Cricetulus griseus: one gene and its partner. Each later gene encodes a partner of the first gene's protein in a complex. Links are inferred from orthologs where the notes say so. Each region holds a gene or a part of one and is shown on either strand. Other genes may lie near its edges.

The links. Proteins that work in one complex are often made in the same cells at the same time.
Region 2: Smarcd2 (region 1) and Arid2 share a complex: the UniProt entries of both Homo sapiens proteins name them as parts of the SWI/SNF-B (PBAF) chromatin remodeling complex. The link is inferred for Cricetulus griseus from reciprocal best matches to the Homo sapiens genes SMARCD2 and ARID2.

What each region holds. Positions count from the first base shown.
Region 1 is NC_048600.1:119,215,051-119,219,867, forward strand, and holds part of Smarcd2 (SWI/SNF-related matrix-associated actin-dependent regulator of chromatin subfamily D member 2), read right to left. Parts: intron 2,164-4,817; coding exon 1,979-2,163; intron 1,828-1,978; coding exon 1,785-1,827; intron 1,648-1,784; coding exon 1,525-1,647; intron 1-1,524. UniProt on the Homo sapiens protein: Involved in transcriptional activation and repression of select genes by chromatin remodeling (alteration of DNA-nucleosome topology).
Region 2 is NC_048595.1:392,796,864-392,801,680, reverse strand, and holds part of Arid2 (AT-rich interactive domain-containing protein 2), read right to left. Parts: intron 2,609-4,817; coding exon 2,527-2,608; intron 1,614-2,526; coding exon 1,479-1,613; intron 878-1,478; coding exon 681-877; intron 318-680; coding exon 1-317. UniProt on the Homo sapiens protein: Involved in transcriptional activation and repression of select genes by chromatin remodeling (alteration of DNA-nucleosome topology). Required for the stability of the SWI/SNF chromatin remodeling complex SWI/SNF-B (PBAF).

The DNA of each region.
Region 1 (4,817 bases):
GCCTACATGCGCAGGCGAAACAGTTCTCATACAGTGCTCTTGCTGCTGCAGTGCGTGCTTCACTAGTGCTAGTAGGCTATGTTTGGGACACAGTAGGCTGGGCACGATGGTAAAGGCTTGTGATCACAAGGGAGGACCGCTTGGTGCTCTCCCTGCCGTGAGGAGCCCTGCCCTAGCCTAGGCAGAGAGCCCTGCCCTAGCACCCCCGAGCAAGGCCGCCCGTCAGGGAGGGCAGTCTGGGGAAGCGTGTACCGTCAGGGAGCCCTGCTCACCCCCGAGCAAGGCCGCCCGTCAGGGAGGGCAGTCTGGGGAGGCGTGTACCGTCAGGGAGCCCTGCTCACCCCCGAGCAAGACCGCCCGTCAGGGAGGGCAGTCTGGGGAAGCGTGTACCGTCAGGGAGCCCTGCCCTAGCACCCCCGAGCAAGGCCGCCTGTCAGGGAGGGCAGTCTGGGGAGGCGTGTACCGTCAGGGAGCCCTGCTCACCCCTGAGCAAGGCCGCCCGTCAGGCAGGGAGGGCAGTCTGGGGAGGCGTGTACCGTCAGGGAGCCCTGCTCACCCCCGAGCAAGGCCGCCCGTCAGGGAGGGAGGGCAGTCTGGGGAGGCGTGTACCGTCAGGGAGCCCTGCCCTAGCACCCCCGAGCAAGGCCGCCCGTCAGGGAGGGAGGGCAGTCTGGGGAGGCGTGTACCGTCAGGGAGCCCTGCTCACCCCCGAGCAAGGCCGCCCGTCAGGGAGGGAGGGCAGTCTGGGGAGGCGTGTACCGTCAGGGAGCCCTGCCCTAGCACCCCCGAGCAGGGCCGCCCGTCAGGGAGGGCAGTCTGGGGAGGCGTGTACCGTCAGGCAGGGAGGGCAGTCTGGGGAGGCGTGTACCGTCGGGCAGGGAGGGCAGTCTGGGGAGGCGTGTACCGTCAGGCAGGGAGGGCAGTCTGGGGAGGCGTGTACCGTCAGGCAGGGAGGGCAGTCTGGGGAGGCGTGTACCGTCAGGCAGGGAGGGCAGTCTGGGGAGGCGTGTACCGTCAGGGAGCCCTGCTCACCCCCGAGCAAGGCCGCCCGTCAGGGAGGGAGGGCAGTCTGGGGAGGCGTGTACCGTCAGGGAGCCCTGCCCTAGCACCCCCGAGCAAGGCCGCCCGTCAGGGAGGGAGGGCAGTCTGGGGAGGCGTGTACCGTCAGGGAGCCCTGCTCACCCCCGAGCAAGGCCGCCCGTCAGGGAGGGAGGGCAGTCTGGGGAGGCGTGTACCGTCAGGGAGCCCTGCCCTAGCACCCCCGAGCAGGGCCGCCCGTCAGGGAGGGCAGTCTGGGGAGGCGTGTACCGTCAGGCAGGGAGGGCAGTCTGGGGAGGCGTGTACCGTCGGGCAGGGAGGGCAGTCTGGGGAGGCGTGTACCGTCAGGCAGGGAGGGCAGTCTGGGGAGGCGTGTACCGTCAGGCAGGGAGGGCAGTCTGGGGAGGCGTGTACCGTCAGGCAGGGAGGGCAGTCTGGGGAGGCGTGTACCGTCAGGCAGGGAGGGCAGTCTGGGGAGGCGTGTACCGTCAGGGGCTTCTTGATGGCCTCTTGGATCTCCATCCGCTTGCGAGCGATGGTCTGGTCCAGCTTCCTCTCAAAAGCCAAGAGGTCCATGTACGCCTGAGACTCTGGGACAAGCTCCCGGATCTGCAGATTGAGAAATGCAGCGGCTTGCTCCACCAGCTCCAGTTCTACAGTCCTTCCTCCCTTCCCCATTGCAGGATTGGGGAAGATGGCTCTGATGCTAGCCAGCCAGAGCTGGGCAGGCTTCCTAACACACTCACTCGCTGAGGTAGAACCTTATCTGCCATCTTCCTCCTCTTTAGCCTAGGAAGGAAACAGAAACCATTTAAGAGGTTAACAGTCCAAACTCTCCATCTTCAAAACCCTCTCCCAAATTGCCAAGAGTCTCCTTGGGGTCAAGGTAGAGGGAAACTGAACGCCAGAGATGAGCTAGCAAGGCACAAGAATGTCTTACCCTCGGCGCTGGGCAGGCATTGGGGGCTGGGCCTGAGGCACAAGCAGGCGTTTTCGGAATGGATCCATCATGGTAGGTGGCATGCCAGGTCGAAGCGGAGCAGCTGTGCCAAACGGGGAGCCAGCTGGAGGTCCCACCTGCAAGCCAGCCATGGGCATCCTGCTTCCTGGTGACATGCCAGGTCGCTGGGTAAAGTGGAACAGTGGGGGTGCACAGGTCAGTGGCAAAGCCCTACGAGGTCCATAGCCCATACCCTCCATCTCTCTCGAGCATGGGGAGACCTGCTGGAGACCAGGAACAAAGGGGAACAGGCGCCTGAGCCCAGCGTGTAAACCACACCTGCCCCGCCCCTGCAACCGCCCTGGCAGGCAGTGCCAACAAATGAGGCAGCCAGAGTCCATGGGTGGGAGGGGAGCACCACTTGCAGAAAGAAGGGCCTGGGGAATTTTTTAGGACTTATCACCCCTTCCCAGCTTCAATATGCCATGTCCTGCACCCTGGGGTGAGCCAGCTTTGAGCAATTTATTGTCTTTAGATGGGCCACTATATACTCCCTATTCCTTTCCCCATCCTGAAGAAAAAACATTACTTGGGTGATTAGGGGCAATGCATAGCAACCCAAGGGAGTACAGGAGTTATAACAGTCTGATGGGGTATGCATGTCTAGTGGCATGACTGGGGAAGAAAGGCAGTCAGTGGGGTGGCAAGCCATCAGGCAGCAGCACCCCAGGTGAGCAAGGACAATAGGATGGCTTGGCCATGTCACAGCTTGTGGAGATGGCCTCAGGAGAGTGCAGACACCATCTGGCCACCATATGGCCTCCACATAGCCGGGACCTGTCCTTCCCCCACCCTTCTCTCTCACACTCTTCCCTGCCACCATGCCCCTACCTATGTCAAAGGACTCCCAAAAGGGAAGTTATGGTTCTTGGGAGCCTGTGGGAATGAGAGCAGCAGACATCTGGATTCTGCCCATGGTCTAGGCACCACCTGGCAGCCAGGCTGCTGCTGGTTCAACTTAACCCTAGACATCCCAAGCTGCAGAATAAGACTGACCTGGGATGCAAGGGCTTAATAAGGGTCAACAGCAACAAGTAGCTTCTTGGTTTCTCATCCAAGGCCCTGTTCCCCAACATTTCTGGGAGCCCTCCACCTCCCAACTCCATTCACATGGCTGCTGCCTGAAAGGCCTGTTTGGCAGCTCTGCCTTGCACAGACTGTCCCTGGCAGCTTCACAGGGCTGGCCCCAGGGCCCAGGTTATGCAATCAATCAGTACAACCAGACAACCAGGCCAGCCTGGGTGGAGATTCACACCAAGTTAAAGGAGACCCCCCTCTCAGCATCCTGGAGATGAGTCTCTGCAATTTCTTTATCCAGCACTAAACCCATGTTCTCAACCACAGAAGGTCAGATTCATGACCAGTAGCAGAGACGGAGGGAAAGAAACATGACCCAGAGACAAGGAGCAGGGTGACAGGGAGGCATGTGGCAATTGAGGAGTTAAAAGTGGGAGACCCTGGGACCTCGGGAGTCCTGCCACAAGTCTCTCCTCATCAGGAAGAAATTCATCAAAGCTGTTGAAAGGCAAAAGCAGCCTGTTTCTCTGCCCTAATAAGCCAGAGCCAGAAATTAAAGGGGGGGGGAGGGTAGACAACAACTCAGGGTTGCCACAGCTGTAAGACCCTCCACCATCATCCAAGACTTCAGGTTTTCCTAGGGTAATTGCAGCTATAAGCTGGGGTGTTCAGTGCCCCCAAGCTCTTCACTGAAGTTCATAAAGCCTGTTCTACTGCTGAGCCCTCCAGGAAATCCCAAGTCGAAGCAGCCCAGGCAGGCCTGGAATAGGCCCCACCCAGACATCTGCTCCAGACTTCTGGGGCTCAGGCTCCAGGCCCCCAGCTCACCCAGAACCTCAGGGGAAGGCTGCTCACAATTCAAGTCCCAGTTCCCCCTGGCCAAGCTCCACACCTGAGCTTTGAAGAGCCAGAAACTCCTCCTTAAAAACTCAGGTTAGAAAACAAAACAAAGTCACAGCCATAGCCACAGCTTCACAGCCTCTGCCTGCTTGTCCTACCACAGGGGTAGGTGGGCCTGGTTCAGTCCCCTGGACCCCAAAATGCAGTAACTGCTTCTACTTGGCCAAACACCCCACACTCTAGACTTGATTCTGTAACCACCAAGGAGACAATGGAGAAGGCTAGGCCTGACTCTGCCATCTCTGGGTAGGAATCTAGGGCTCAAGTAAGCATGTTCTGCTCTGACCTAAAGCCTGTAGCTCTGGTCCTCAGATGGCTGCCTGGGCCTAAGAGCCTCATTTGGAGAACATACCCTGACCCTATGAACAGAAAGTATTCTAAACTCTGAGCTGAGTGAACTCAGCAATAATGCACAGTAGGTCTCTTTGTTTTGTTTTTAATTATGGTGTTAAGCCCTTCAGCTGACTGTACTCCAAGACTAGATAGAATAACCCTCTAGAGGTAGGTAGCTGGGCCATTACTTTTGTTTCAACAAGCTCCCCAATATGCCCAGCTTGAGCATGCAAATCCTCGCTCACCCCCAAGGGCTCTAACCAGGAGGAGCCCCTTTGTCTTCAGACCCCAAGCCCTTTTGAAGTTAGGTACCTGGACATGAAAAGAAGCAAGCAGTTTCTCCTTCAAAGTCAACCAGTGTTAACTGGATTCTCTTTACCCCACCTTTTCCTCTGCCCTTCCCCAGAGAAAGAAGAGGAGGGGAAGAAATGAGAAAGAAGAAGGTGGTGATGTCAACCTGGTTGGTATGGGATGTCCAGACTTAAGGCCATCTTCTTTCTCACACCTAGTAGCCACAGGTATTCAGCTG
Region 2 (4,817 bases), on another chromosome or scaffold:
CACAGAAGTCTGTGCAGGTCCTCCTCCAAGAGCAACACTCACAGGAACTGCTGTCTGGGGCAGAGAATTCTGGATTACTGTTGCTTTAACGACTTCACAAGGAATTGGGGCTTTATTCTGAATGACAGTCACTGGAGCATTTTGTTGCTGGTGGGTATGAACTGAAGGATTTGGTGGAATTCTAGAAACAGTCTGTGCCACAGTATGAACACCTTGTACTGGAAAAGACATTTGTGTTGCAGTCAAATTTGAAGATTGATTGGTAACAGGAGTCCTCTGAAAATGATTTCCTACAGCTTGTGATCCATGAGGGATTCCTATATATATGGGGAAAAATAAAAGTTACAAGTAAAATGACTGTAAGATGTCAAATGTCTTATTATCTAATTTAATACAAGAGGAAGGGTGTAAAGAAATTAATGCCCAAAAGACAGGAAACATTAGAGTATGGTGACACCCATGAGAAACACTGTAAACAGCACAGGGCAAGGCCATCACTTAATATACAAAATACACATTTACATTCTAGCAATCCTTAAAACATTGAAAAACTTGGGGATACTGCCATTTGTCTGTAATCCCAGCTTTCAGAAGGACCCCAAGTTTGAGGCCAGCATGGTTTGTACAGCAAGACCTGACTGCATATATAATAAATGAATATTAAAATTGAAAGTTAATACCTGCAGGTGAAGGTGTTGGAGACACATCAGCAACAGAATCAACGCGGACAACAGGAGTGGAAACTGGCTGTTGCTGATAGTACATCTGGATGGGGAGTGGTATAGCCCTCCGTTTCACTCCTATGACATGAATATGTGCCTGCCCACTGCTATTGGAATCCTCCACTCTCTTCACTGTATGATTTGGAAAAACTGTTCTGTAAAATAACACACACTAATTATGAAAAACAGGACAAAAGTACAGCACTGCCCCCAGCAATGCTCAGAGCATTGCCATTGCTACTAATGCATTGACCAATGAGTCACAATGTCATAGTCTGCAAAAGAGGAAAGATAGATATGTACAAGATTAATTCTCTAATTAAAGAACCATTGCTTATTAACAATGTTGAGTTTTAAGCAATTTATATATAACCAGTTTTTAAAAACATGTATGTTTATGAATTTAGCAAAGCACAAAGGTCTCATATTTGGTCAAATGCATATCAACAACATATTAGGATTCAAGACTTAAAATGAATAATGTCTTCAACATTTCAAAGAAGGTAGGAGAAAAAGGGGAATTTGACTTCCTACTTTTCTTTCTTTGATAAACATTATAGAAACATTTCTTTCTTTGATAAGACATTATAAACCCTGCCTCAACACAGTGACTTTACTTGAGCCTCTACTGAACTAAAGCCAATGTGTGGGGAAGTTCAAGCAGTAGAGATGCAAAAGTCAGCAGCCTTGTGGTGTTTTCTCTAGTATGCAAGAACAACTGACATGAATGAATCTTTGAAAAGCTGGTCACTTTACCTCAGACACCTGTAAAACCCAGTTGATGTGAGGATGCCACCACGAGCTAATTTACTACAAGTTGAGAGGTACTCAGAATACATTTCTGCTCGAGAGACTGAACAATCTGGATTTACTTCAAAATGAGCATTCAGCCTAAACAGAAAAAGAGAAAAATTAAGACATTATATACCATGAACCTCCATGTATATTAAAAGATAAAGTGTTATACTAATAATTACTTCAACTAACCAAATTTCACTACCTCGTATGTCAGTAGTAAAAATACACATAAGGTTTAGACAGATTTAATGAAATAGGCCAATTGTTTATCATATTTACTAAAGGAGTATAAACAAAAGCTACAGTTACATCTCAGCCACAGGAAGGATGGTCTGTTAGCAACAGTTCTCTAAGAAGCAGTGTTACCCAGTCATTATCTGGTGGTGTACCTGTCTTGCAATAACTCCTAATCAAAGGCATCATAGTGTGCACTGAGGTCAAGGAAATAGTGGAAAACTGAACTAATTTTTTCTCTGCTCTTGGATCAAACTCCTTCAGCCAAGACTCACCAAAGCTTTCCAACTGTGCCATCAAACAATGACATATTACGCACAGCCACTCTCATCTCAAAACACTTCCATTTGTACTTCTAAGAAACTAACACACTTCTTTTTAGAGTCAAGTCCATCTACATTAAAAACATGTATGTAAGTCAGCATTAGAAATCTTGTTAGCTTTGTAAAGTCTCTTTCCAGAACTCACTAGCAAAAGAGGTCAACCTGTTTCTCATACATTTAATTAAATAGTAACAATGATAAAATAATTTTCTCTCATCCTTGTCAAAAGTGGTAATTGAGAGGCTATGCTCAAGGAGAGCCTGAGCTACACAGCAAGCACCTGCCTCAAACACACAACCAAAACCAAACAAAGATGATATTTAACAACAAAACCTGATTCTCCAATTTAGTTTTAATAAAACTGCTGGGTAGCTAATAAATCCATTTCTTTTTCTGTTGGTTTGTTCTTCCCAAGAATTTTAAAGCTGTAACAGAAACAAGCCACTTACCACTGACAAGCAAACTTTTCACTATCTATTTCCACTATTCCTGGAGGTGGAGCGGCATGCTGTGTCACAACTGTTCTGGAAGCTGAAGAAAAAGAAAAAAAAAAAAAAAAAAAAAAAAAAAAAAAAAGAGCTCTATCATTTACTAAATTTAGACACTATATGCTACATTCCTGGGCACTAAACCAGTTCTTATTTATAAAGAATGTCTTTCTACAAAGGTATGGAAACACGTGAAAATAAAGAAATTAGAGAAAAAAAGAAAAGTGATCATGCATATTAGGTACTATTTTAGAATCTTCCTATTTTGTTTAGCCTCATAATTATTAAACAATAAAATGGATAATTTAGCTACTAGCAATATAAATTGTTTTTCCCATCTCCCGAAACTGATTGAATACTTCACATATTTATTATTTTCTCTAGTTATTTGTTATGTAGGTACAGATAAGAAAAGCCACAAAGTGATTAAAACAGAACCTGGCCTGAGAAAAGCTGTGGACCTATGTGGGAGGGGAGCTCAGCTTGTTGGTTGTGTGCTTGCCTAACCTAGGTATAAAGCCATACATTCAACCTCAGCACTGCAGTCAATAAACAAACAAATGAACAAACGGAAAGGCTAAGGTCATCAGCTCAATAAGCATCTGTCAGTTCAGCTGTACAATGCATTGGAAGTGATAAATTCATTTTTAAATTTAAAAGGTGAATATTAATTCTATAGAGTTTCTAGGATAAAATGGGACAAAAAGCAGGAGGATTACCAATTCAAGGCTAGCATTGGCATCAAGAAAAGACCTATCTCAAAATCAAGCACAGATATCTTGCTTTATATAAGTAATAAAAATTTAGCTTTGTTGATTAGGATCCGAGTGTGAGCTGTACACTCATGCCTATACTTTAGCCCTAGCACCCAAAGCAGCACCTACTACCCACCCCAGCTTTATCAGCTTGGCTTTGTGGCAGACATTCTCAAGTATTAAATAAGGGAAATCTGTACCATCAAAATTTTTACAAGAACTAATCAAAACATATGATATATAGCACTTTATAACAGAAGTAGCACTGAAATATAGTGATGCTCAATATTGAATACTACTTCAATTTTTTTAGTACAGCAGTCTAGACCAATAGCACCAGCACCTCATAGGAACTTGTTAGAATTAAAGTTCTTAGTTCCCACCTGACTAGAAAATTAAGAACTCTGTGCTGTATGTATATGCAGCCTTCAGACAATTCTGCCATACTCTCAAGTCTGTGAACCATCAAGTAGAAACCATGATTACAACAGTCTTGTAAATACCTTTTAAAGATACAACCCATCTAAAGATGAAGCAACAAGTCAAGCATTTCATAATTCTTCGGTTTTAACAGAAAGGAAGAAAGAAGGAAGGAGGGAGGGAGGAAAGGAGGATGGAAAACAAAAATAGCAGAGCTCTAGTTGTTAGATGAACAATAAAAATAAGTTTAATACCTTTTGGATGATTGTTAAAAAAAATTCAAAGAATTACAAACAAGTTCTGTCCTTGTCCACTTAATGACGTAACCTAAATTGTCAACTAGTATCTGCAGTTCCAACTCAGTGATCTCTTGGGTGACCCTGGCTAATCTCCATGAATTACAAAAAAGTCAAGTCTTGAATGGGAAAGGGACTGCTGGGATAAGGGAGAGAGGGTTGATGGAATGAGAAGAGAAAAAAAATGGACTAATCAGAATACATGCATGTATGAAATTGTCATCAATTTAATAAGAGAGAGAAAATAGCATTAATGCTGGTTCCAGTTCCATTCTAGCAATAAATAGTACACAGTCACACATATACTACATTCATGGCTTCTGGACACTAAAAATACTTACAAACCTGTATTTACTCTTGTCTGATGTACTACTTATACTAAATCTTGTAATTATAAAACAAACTTTTAAAAGAGTTTCTTAAAGACACAAACTTTTACCAAGTATATCTTAAGGTTGGGGACATGGCTAGGTGATAGAAAGAGACTTCAAGAATGAGAGTGTGACAATAGGATACGGTTTATAAGGCTACTGGGGAGACAGGGTAAAGGAAGGCTTTAATATGGTTTCTGACACTGTGATTTGATTTTTTTTTTTTTTTTTTTTGTCAAGAATGTTAGACCTGAACTGGGAATTTGCTCTGACACTGACCCATACTCTTAGACATTTGAAAACATGGATTATGGCATTGAAATTCTAGTAACTATGAAGAATATGGTATTATTTTTTAAAGTTAGTTTAATATCCATCAAGAAAATATACTGTTTGTAACCATTTAAATT